Neodiprion lecontei: one gene and its partners. The protein of the gene in region 2 purifies or fractionates together with the protein of the main gene of each other region. This does not show direct contact. Links are inferred from orthologs where the notes say so. Each region holds a gene or a part of one and is shown on either strand. Other genes may lie near its edges. The genes, in order: elongation factor 1-beta', valine--tRNA ligase and elongation factor 1-gamma.

Region 1 (3,297 bases), on a different chromosome or scaffold from region 2:
AACCAGCAAATCAGACACTTGTATATTTCATTATTTTGAAGTATCTCATACATTGTTTTGAGTTGCATGAAGTTGACTTGTTTCGTCAATTTTGTTGTAATCCTATAAATCGATATTTATCTTCCAACTGGGGACAAACATTTTCTACTTAATTTCTGCATTAAACAATTGCTTTTCATGGTCATAATACCTTCATTTTCTGCTCATTCAGCGCAATATCAAACTTTGGTCAGTATTTATGAATTCTATTTATTAATCAGCACTGTTATGTTCATAGAGATCAATGTAAACAGATGTCGGAGCAAATATTCTTTCTATGCTGTTCGAGTTATGGTTTAAAAGAGATCAACTAGCCAGAATCTAGAATTCTAAAATTCTTTTCAATGTAAAATTGGAGTTTATAAGAGGGGACATGTGAAATTTCGTGTACCTGGAGTACAGTAGTTCCTGGATCAACTAGCACAGGGATGTCGTCAATAAACACCTCGATCTGCTCAGGTGGGGCTTGCAGCTTACTGGCTGTGGTATGGAGTCCAGTGGCACCAAGCCTGCATCCCGACAGACCAGCCGCTCTAATCAGTGGAAGCCGCAACATTTTCTAAAAATCAATCAACAAATCATGCTGATTTTTGTTATATAATAAAACAGTCCTGTAACGCAAAGGTATTTGGCCGATGTGTTAACCTAACTCACGATGTTGTAACAGAACCGATAAAATGAATATACATGGTTGAAGTGACGTAACACTTTGCAAGAGAAACAATGGGGACCAAAAATTGCAAAATGATTTTGTTATAACTACCGATGATAATTGGCCTATAAATTATTGTTGAAAAATCAAACAATTACCGAAGTCAAGAAAAACGAAGTCCCTTACCTTCAGGTGTCAGGACTGTCGCCTTTCAGAGCAGACAGCTTGGTACAATCATATGGAGACTGGTCGAAAATTTGAGAAAAAAATTACAAGTACGAGAAATTGAGTGCAATTAAATTAGTTTACTCAAAAAAAAATCTATCAGCAGATGACGGGAGCTAAGCACGAAAAATAGGCGGAATTGCTTAAAATGGGTTTATGTATGCAATTGTATGTTAGAATTTACTTTGCGCAGTTGACGCAGAACAAAAAGGTAAAATCAGATGCGAAGTCCATTGGTTAGACGAATTTGTCCAATGTTGTTTTTTTCCGTAACGCGTTTTGTTCTACACACCAAGTGGTTCTATTGCAGGTGATTTCTAAATTTAAAAAAATATCTATATAAATTAATACGTCCTCTGCTTGAAATAGTCGCAAGAATTCTCAAGTAGCATCGACTTTTCCGGTTGTTCTTTAGCGATTCGCGATTCGATTGGCAGAAACTCAACCGGAAATGCATCACTCATAAAAAGTAAAGTATTGTCCGGACTAAATGAACCCTGCGTATCAGCAGCTCTCTCTTCCGGCGAGTAGACTAGAGAGGCAGACTGCCGCAACTTTCGTATAATATTTATTAATAAAATACACGCTCGCAATGGCCATTGGTGATCTTAAGACTGACAAGGGTTTGAAGGAGTTGAACCGTTTTCTTGCCGACCGCAGCTACATCGAAGGGCAAGTATATTATACGGGGTTTCTGTGCATATTTTAACTCACGTGTTCCACTTGTCGGCATGTAAAGTCAACCTCTGTCGGTCTCTTCCGTTTCAGTCACCAATCTTATTTATTATCCGTACAGACGAAGATTCACTGACATAAATTTTTTTTTGTTAATAATGTCTCCTCACATCGTCATGTTTCATTCGAATGTCAAGACTTTCTAGTCGTTCGCAACGATATTTTTGCATGCTAAAAGTTATTAAGATTGGCCTGTCAACTATCACCTTGCCCACCCGGCTTTGCAACTTCGGAACTCGTTCCATATTCCCCAATTCGAAGATTCCAAAAATAAATCTGAGCGAGCTATCTGATGCAACATATTTTTGTGATTCGCCAATTTGTGGTTACGTCTTATTTTCATTGATGAATAGTTTTATTTTATATTGTATACATACATTACAACAAATTATCGTTGGAGTTCTAATACGTTGGCACTCTTACGTAGATGGCAACCTTCGCAAGCGGATGTCGCAGTGTTTGAAGCTTTGGGGAACGCTGCATTGGGATCGAATCCCCATGTCCAGAGATGGTACACACACATCAAATCCTATGAACACAAGTCTCTTCCGGGCGTGAAAAAAGTCCCTTCCATCTTGGGTGGAACTGAGACTGCTCCACCGCCCAAGGCTGCCAAACCAGCTGACGACGACGATGATGTAGATTTGTTTGGATCCGACGAAGAGGAAGATGCGGAAGCTGCTAAAGTTAGAGAGGAAAGGCTCAAAGCGTATGCAGAAAAGAAGTCCAAAAAACCTACATTAATTGCCAAGTCCAGTATTGTGTTGGATGTCAAACCATGGGATGACGAAACAGACATGAAAGAAATGGAAAAGCATGTGAGGTCTATTTCTATGGACGGCCTGGTTTGGGGTGCTTGTAAGTATTCTCTGCTTGTTTTTGGTAATGATTTTCGAATGAATTGTTTTAATTGAGAATATTGGAATTTCTAGCAAAACTCGTGCCTGTGGGATATGGAATCAACAAGTTACAGATCATGTGTGTTGTAGAGGACGACAAAGTTTCCGTCGACTTATTAGTTGAAGAAATCCAAAACTTCGAAGACTTTGTACAGTCAGTTGACATTGCAGCCTTCAACAAGATTTAAATATCGTCTGCTCCGTCAATATTGAATTAATAAATATTAATTGTTTGTAAATACAAGCTGTTACTTTATACTCCTAGCGAAATTCCGTTACCGGTCTTAAATCTAGTGTGCTAATAGTTATTGTTTTTCCTACCTAAGTCGTATGTATAATTGTTGCGGATTAGATCAACTCATCTAATACGACTCTTCCTATAAATTACTATGAAAATTACTGCACTCAACTAGCAATAAATTAATATTTGGCCAGGTATATTATTCCGTCTGAAATGAAAATTTCAATCTTTTCTTTTTATTTAAATCTTGAAGATCCTGGTGAACCTGAGCTATCATTCATTCTAAGCTTTATAGTATTATACTGTTTGAAGGGTAAACAGCCAAATAACTTGTAATCTTTGATTGACCACACTCATTTACAGTCAGAAAGATAATTAATCGGTGTATAAGAACAAAGCTGGACGAGTATATAAGTGGCATCAGAAATAGCAGTTGCATATTGCTGGGCTAGTATTTTGCAGATTGATCTTTTGAATTATATGTTCTCACGTAATCTAATCTTGTC
Region 2 (3,758 bases):
ATTTCATCACACTTGACGTACCTATAATTGCAAGATATAATTTCGTGTATCAAGCTTCTCTTAAAGAGTGAAGAAATGTCATCAAATGTAGACAGGATTTACCAACCACTGCGGTTTCATTAGTGGTTCAACGACGTCCTTGGATCGACTACAAATTGGTACAACCATTGCATTGTCTTTGGTCTCAATATATAATCCTCTTTCCGTCAATTGTTGCAGAATAGCCTTTCGCGCATCGAATCTTTTCATACCCTGAAATGATAGAAGCATGCACTAATCTCTCAACACTTCAACTATCATATAATTAATTTTAGTTTATTTGAATTGAGGATGATAAGTACCGTGAATTTGCCATAGTTTCCGATGATATTTCCCGCGTCATCAAAAATTGTTATAAATGGCAAGTCGTGCCTCTTTCCAACTTCATAATCATTAGGGTCATGCGCAGGTGTTATTTTCACAGCGCCTAATTAATGCAACGAGAATTAAGCCAAGATGTTCTCTTTCAAAGTAGCAAAGATGATAATTTACCTGTTCCAAATTCCATTTCCACAAAATCGTCAGTTATGATCGGTATCTTTCTATCGCAGAAAGGATGTTTCACGTATTTACCAATCAGGTGAGAATAACGAGCATCCTTGGGGTGTACTGCGACCGCAACATCTCCAAGCATTGTTTCAATACGAGTTGTAGCAACCACAACCTTTTCATTTGAGTCTTCTATTTCGTATGCAAATGATACGAGAACACCAAACTCAACTTTCTCTTTGTAGCCAGGAATAGCGAGAAAAGTTCTGCCAGGTAGCTCCATTTTGTCCACCTTGGAACGACAATGATCAGTTTATTTATTACCATTGAGATGTAATGAGACAGGAAATAGGAACAATTGTTACCTCAATATCGGAAATTGCACTTTTCAACGTACAAGACCAATTCACAAGACGATTACTCCTGTAAATATCCCCTGACTCATGCAGACGTACGAAAGCTTCGGTAACAGCGCGGCAGAGTTTTGGATCCATTGTGAAACAAGCGCGATCCCAATCAAAGGAGCTCCCGAGTTTACGAAGTTGCTCATAGATTCGATCTCCTTTTCTGCAGATTTGTAGAAAATTATAAAATTAACACCTAGATACATCGTACCAAAAACCAGGTCATGTTGCACTCACTCATTTTTCCACTCCCAAACTTTTTCCACAAATTTTTCCCTCCCGATGTCATGACGTGTCTTTTGTTCGTTCCTCCATAATTTCTTTTCAACTACCACTTGAGTCGCTATTCCAGCATGATCACAACCCGGATTCCAAAGTGTCGTTCGCCCCTTCATACGATTCCTGAAGTTCGAATGGTAAATCAACTATGTTACAAGGAGGAAGGAAAAATGATTTGAACAACTAAAAAATATATTATAATAGAAACTATCGACTTACCATCGGGTAATTACATCCTCGATCGCATTTGTCAGTGCATGTCCAAGATGTAAGGAACCAGTGACATTAGGTGGTGGAATAACCATGACAAATGTGCCTTTGGGATTTGTTTCGTTGATGCTTTTACGCTGGAAACGTGGTATACGATGAATGTGAATTGAATTCCTCTGCGTACGATGTCAGACACAACAAATTTATCACTGAAGGACTTTAACCAAACTTACTCCATATTCGGGTTTGAAGAAACCCTCGTTTCTCCACCAGGAATACCACGCTGCCTCGACAAAACGAGGGCTGTAGGCATCAGGCATCGGACAATTGACATCCTTCTTTTCCCCCTCTAGAGTGTTTATGGTATATAATACTGCTTGCTTGCTTTCCAGCTTTTTTTCAACCTTCTGCAAAACGTGTATACCTTAATGAATTTTTTTGTTTTCATGTAAAACCAAGGCGATCCAAGTATGTGAATGCGACAGGAAACCATATGGATTATGGAAACGTCATTGTTGCAGTTAACAATCAGGCAGAATTAAATAAAGTGAATGCGAAAATTACCTCAGGTTTTTCTTTGGGCTTAGTTGAAGCAGTGGTTTCTTTTTTATCTAGTTTTTGTTTGAACTTCTCCAATTTAGCCAACTTCTTAGCCTCTTTCTCAAGCTGTTTCGCTGTCTTTGGTTTCGCAGCCTCTCCCTCGGCTCCGTTTGCTGCCGTTTCAACCATTTTTATTGCAAATTATTCAAAACAAATAAATAATTCTCAGTTTACGGTATCGCGTGTTATTCGCTGCCTCGCTGAAAATCCCCGAAAATGTCAATATTGAAAACTTAACCAATTACTCCGCGTGGCCTGCACGCTGTCTAGCTGATGTGAGAACAGAAAGGATTGCAAAAGCTGCAGGCGCAATGTTATGTGATTCGCTGTTTCGACGGAATCCATTATCAAGCGAGTTTCAAAAATGGGACAATTATTTGATTCTTCGCTAGCTAGGCCGAGTCGCACTGTGTTGTGTAATGTAATTCTTTAGAAATGAGAGTTTATACAGTTCCGTCTGAATATAGAAAGAAGAAAATAATTATATCCATCAGTAGAGTAACAAGGTGCACTGAAAATAATGCATAGGTTTGAGGTTATTTCGAGAATAGCTTATAAGCTTGAAATATAATTTTTTCCAAATCCTTAAATAATTTTGCAGCGTCAAAGACAACTTAGATCGCACAAATTTATGAACCGAAGCTTTTTAATTTTGTACAGTACTTATCGGCCCGTCATTCAGACGAATCAATGTAAAGAACCTTTGAAATTCGCAACCAATTGTATGAACTGTACATTATGTGACCTGCCTGTATAATAGTGTTTTTCGATACTAGTGCGCGAAGGTGGCAATGCCCGCACAAGCATGAAGGCGCAGCACGAGCCTGGAGACGAGTTGAAGGGCGAGTGTGGCGCATTCACGCGAGATAGGCATTGCCAACTTTCGCACGTGTATCGAACTCTATTTTTTGCTACACCTGTAATGGAAAGTCCGACATACACGATTATTTTTACACGAAACCACGGCACGATGTCTGTTTAGTGACGATGCAGCGATGTCGAGCACGGCAAAGAGTGACAAACTATTCCATCGGTAGGGCTAGTGGAGCTGTTTGCGAAATACGCAACTGTGGATAAAAGCGCGACGGTCTTTTTCGCACACCGCTAGCAATGTGCGAAGGTTCATCTTATACCGCCGGCAATGTGCGAAGGTTTTTTTCTCACACCCCTAGTAATGCGCGAAAGTTTTTCCCGCACATGTGTATAAAAGACTACTTTCGGTGCTTGTAAATGGTGCATAAAAATGGACTTTCCACGCAGGTGTTGCAAAAAATTAATTGTAAGATTAGCAAGTGCATATGTGTTCCGTGCAATCGTTGCGGTATATCTCGAGATTCGGTATTCTGTTCAGTAAACTGTAGGTCCTCGAATGCAGTTTTCGGTTTAACTGGTGTACGTGTATTTGAATTGAAAGTTTAAAAGAAAGATTTTGGGAAAATATGAGGGATCTACGTTATGTGGAAGATCGTGCTCATTTGATTTTTCATGTTTTTTTCAATTTATTTTTTTTGAATTTGTGAAGAATCACGTCGTAGGACTTCGATTCTTATTTCTTTCCTAAAACTTATATTCAACTCAAAGATCACGATCCATAACACAACGATATATCAACCGGGAATCTTATTCTTCTAAATCAAAAGTTCATAATATTAAATTATAACTATTTTATGAGGTTTACAGATCCTGTACCTAGTGAAACTTGACTTCCAGGTCTAGAGGTCCTTGATCCGGTGAAAT
Region 3 (3,758 bases), on a different chromosome or scaffold from region 2:
AGACAAACACTGGCAAAAGCAGCTTTCCGCATTTTGTCAAGTCGTTGATACATGCCACCAATGAGATTGCAAGACATGAACACCTGGACAATGTAAGATTAACGAATACAATCTTAAATATGATTATATTTTAACCGTAGGTAATTCATAATATCTCCAAAAATATTCTTGCTACATGAAAAACTGAATGAAATTCAAATCCCGGCAGAGAATTCAGTATAACGAGTTTACCTTTGTCAACTCTTCAGGGTATTTGTATTCTCCAAACCAGATGCTGTAATGTTCAGGATCAAATTCTTTCCAGAAGAAAGGAATGGAGACAGTCTCTTCTTCATTGGAGTAACAACGCTTGAAACTATCCATATCAAAAGTACCTTTAGGCATTGTGTCAAATGGATCCTTAGATTTGGGTTCAGCAGCTGCTATTTCATCAGCTAAATCTACATCTGCCTCGCGAGGTTCTTTAGGTTCCTTTTTCTGTTCCTTTCGTTTTTCCTTCTTTTCTTTCTTTGCAGATGACTAAAAATTCATAATATTTGAAAGCTGTTCAGTAGTAGATCGGTATATGACAAACTGAAGATGAACGGTTATTTAATACTTTGACTGCTAATTATTGATGATAAAATACTTCGAAATTACTACTAGCTGCTGACTAAAGCCACAAGTTCATAGTACCATGCAACATATTTTGGAATAAGGTAGTATTTTATAAATAAATGGTATTTCACATGAACAATACTGTATATCTATATTTTTTGCTCACTTTTTCTTGAACGTCAGCAAACTTCTTGGGATCATATTCAAGAGTTTTGTCAGCCAGTTTAAAAGCACCGATTACATTGATGGACTCTGGCTGATATATAACAGTTTGGAACCATCTGTTCACATTTTGATACGGCTTGCGTAAACTCGGTTCCAAAATATACTGATATAAATGCAGTAGAGTTGTAGCAACACTAATATCTGCCAAAGTAAGTCGTTCCCCAACCAAGTACGTCCTTGTTAATAGATGTGAATTCAAAGCTGTCAAAGCTTTCTTAACATCGTCCTTGGCATGTTCTATAGTCTGAAAGATTAATTACGAAAATTGCAAAATCCTTGCTAATATGTTCTCTGATACACCCAGTACCTGTACAATGTTTAAAACACTGGATAGTTTTGATATTATTTAATTTTTTTTTTTTTTTTTTTTTTTTGGGGATAAGAGAAGTAAAACGTTAAACGTATTATGCAAGCTGAAGAACATATGAAAACATTCATCGCAATAGTAAGGTAGCTAATTATTTGTTTCAATGTCAGCAATATTGGTACGCAAATGTATAAAAGAATGACAGATGCGTTTGAATATTCAGCATAGATTCATCTGCCTTCTCGTGTTACGAAACTTGAATTTAAAACATTCAGGCTCGTCTTTGAACAAAGGCGATGTGATAAATGTCAAACTAATGCCATGATGGGATTTCTCATGTTTATGCAGTTTTGCAGAACAACTTTAGCCAAATCTAAACTGTAATAAAATATCATGAACATTGAATTCTTTGTAAAATAAGAAAATTTTGTTTTACGGTGGACAAGAATTTCATACCTGTTTGTTGTATTGCATGAGGCCTAATAATGGGAAAACCCAAGCACAGCTGGCAGGAAGGATCTCCGAATCGGCAAATCCAAACCATTGCACAATTTCTGCTCTCTCAATGTCAGTTTTGCCTCTCAGCTGCTCATTGGCAACTAGAAACACAAAAATAGCACAAACTTTTGGCAAAGAGATCGGCAAAAACAATAAATGATAGAAATTAAAACCAGTTGTTTCGGAAATTGTATGTCATAAAACGTGAAAATTTCATACCTATCTGTCACCCAAAGTATATGTATAATTCAGCATCAAGCTCACAATACTGATGTGAAATTGAAGCAGAAGACAAATATTTAAATAAATATCACGTATTGAAATTAATTAAGAGGTAGAATGCATACAACGTATAATATGTTATTCTTGAATTGTAAAAATTAATTAAAAAGGAAAAAGATAAAAAAAAAAACAACAACGAATGAAAACAATAAAGAGAAAAAATATTTTTAGCTGAGGGTAAAAATGTTGATTATGCATACCATAGTAAGCAATTGCATTGCTTTCGGTGATATATTTGCCATCAGCAGTCTCGAAAGCTGGAACCTTCAACAAACATTCGGCGTTATTAAAAACACGTCGGCAGTAAAATATGCGTGACATAAAGCGGTGTCAGCATACCACGGCGATAAGACTTAAGACAGAATCCATCGATGACTGATGATATTTCAGTGATAGACGTATAAAAAAAATGTAACCAAAATAGAAATTAATCTCACCTTTCCAAGAGGAAATTTTTTCAGGAAGGCATCGCTCTTATTGGTTTCGCCGAAAATGAAATCTTCGGCAATTTTAACCTTAGCACCGGAATATTGGGCTGCGATCAGCGCCTTGTAGGCCCTGAAGTTCTCTGGGTACGTGTACAGGGTCTAAAAAAATTTACACGCCATATAAATGTATGATGTTTAATTGTCATATTGCACGCATTCACGTGACCGATTCGTCGAACAAGACGGTGATGTTTTACGAAGAATATTTCGCGTAAAAACACTTACTCCGGACGCCATTGTGCCGAGCTACAGGAAGAGGAAGTCTAGAGATCGAAAGCCGGCTCATGACGAAGCGCCTGCGCGCCTTTCTCCTTCACAGCTGTTCTTTTTTTTCACTATTTCTCGAATTGTCACCCGGCGACGGGAAATATCACAAATCTCAGTGGGTGCACGTACACATTTCTCCGCAATAAAACATATATAACTAGGTCGAACCAAAATTAGATGAAATTAGTTTGATACAAAGTATGAATGTGATCGATTTTTTTTATTCTTACAATTTCTTTATTATACGAATTATAAATTATTAAATATATTTTACATTACAGGCATCTGAAGTTCCTCGTGACTGCTAAAAATAAGACCATCTCGTTCCAACATATCATTTTAAACCGTTTTGTGACATTATAGAATAAAGTAAATTCTATGCAAGAAAAAAAAAAAAAACATTAATTTTGAGTAACGATTTTTAATTGGGTTACTACCTCACTGTTGAAAATTGGAACTTTATAAGAACATTAGGTATCAGGTTAATTTTTTTACGAATTAGGTAGACATAATAGTTTACATACTATTTATCAATGAGTCTGATTTCTGATTATCAATTAAGCTTGCCCAATCTGGGACTCTGTTTGACATGAGGTAATTTTCTTTCGTCAAACAACGTAGTGGCAAATCTGCAATACCAAATATAGCACCACCAAGCCATGCTGTGTAATTAGCTTTGCTTGGTGCCTTATGAAACTTGACTGTACTTATTTTTAATTTCTCAGAATATAAGTTACTCTTCAGTAATGTCAAAAGTTCAGATTTCAAACGTGGCAAAAATCCTTTTGCCATTGTCGTTCCTCCAATCAGCAGAATATTTTCAGCAAGCGGATGTCTCATGTCTACAGGGCACTGCAATGAACAATAAAATACAGAATAATTGGTAAGCGGTCACATTTTTGGAAAGAAATCTAATAAAATTAATCAATCTAATATTCACATTATTAGTACATAATGGTTACCTTCACTATAGCATCTAGTATCATGGTTGGTACACTCAAATTGTCATTGTCTCGCTCCCACAATAATTCGAAAGCTTTTTCACGTACTGATCCGGGTACAGTTATAGTTTTGACTCCAGGATATTTAACTGA

What was found.
Region 1: the proteins of valine--tRNA ligase (region 2) and elongation factor 1-beta' fractionate together in Homo sapiens (co-fractionation; 3 studies listed by BioGRID, with this or other methods). This does not show direct contact. The link is inferred for Neodiprion lecontei from reciprocal best matches to the Homo sapiens genes VARS1 and EEF1B2.
Region 3: the proteins of valine--tRNA ligase (region 2) and elongation factor 1-gamma purify together in Homo sapiens (affinity purification with mass spectrometry; 6 studies listed by BioGRID and IntAct, counting the BioPlex papers as one, with this or other methods). This does not show direct contact. The link is inferred for Neodiprion lecontei from reciprocal best matches to the Homo sapiens genes VARS1 and EEF1G.

What each region holds. Positions count from the first base shown.
Region 1 is NC_060260.1:30,773,542-30,776,838, reverse strand, and holds elongation factor 1-beta', read left to right. Parts: upstream 1-1,431; 5' UTR 1,432-1,508; coding exon 1,509-1,588; intron 1,589-2,078; coding exon 2,079-2,509; intron 2,510-2,583; coding exon 2,584-2,738; 3' UTR 2,739-2,789; downstream 2,790-3,297. Other genes in the region: NADH-ubiquinone oxidoreductase 75 kDa subunit, mitochondrial, read right to left, coding at 431-595. UniProt on the Homo sapiens protein: Catalytic subunit of the guanine nucleotide exchange factor (GEF) (eEF1B subcomplex) of the eukaryotic elongation factor 1 complex (eEF1).
Region 2 is NC_060261.1:2,225,934-2,229,691, reverse strand, and holds the start of valine--tRNA ligase, read right to left. Parts: upstream 2,790-3,758; 5' UTR 2,771-2,789; intron 2,521-2,770; exon of another isoform or gene 2,222-2,520; 5' UTR 2,151-2,221; coding exon 1,986-2,150; intron 1,829-1,985; coding exon 1,655-1,828; intron 1,559-1,654; coding exon 1,431-1,558; intron 1,335-1,430; coding exon 1,170-1,334; intron 1,096-1,169; coding exon 894-1,095; intron 821-893; coding exon 532-820; intron 467-531; coding exon 342-466; intron 253-341; coding exon 107-252; intron 22-106; coding exon 1-21. UniProt on the Homo sapiens protein: Catalyzes the attachment of valine to tRNA(Val).
Region 3 is NC_060265.1:25,265,868-25,269,625, forward strand, and holds the start of elongation factor 1-gamma, read right to left. Parts: upstream 2,681-3,758; 5' UTR 2,635-2,680; coding exon 2,623-2,634; intron 2,497-2,622; coding exon 2,347-2,496; intron 2,174-2,346; coding exon 2,110-2,173; intron 1,729-2,109; coding exon 1,586-1,728; intron 1,067-1,585; coding exon 764-1,066; intron 520-763; coding exon 232-519; intron 84-231; coding exon 1-83. Other genes in the region: actin-related protein 10, read right to left, coding at 3,181-3,516, 3,627-3,758. UniProt on the Homo sapiens protein: Probably plays a role in anchoring the complex to other cellular components.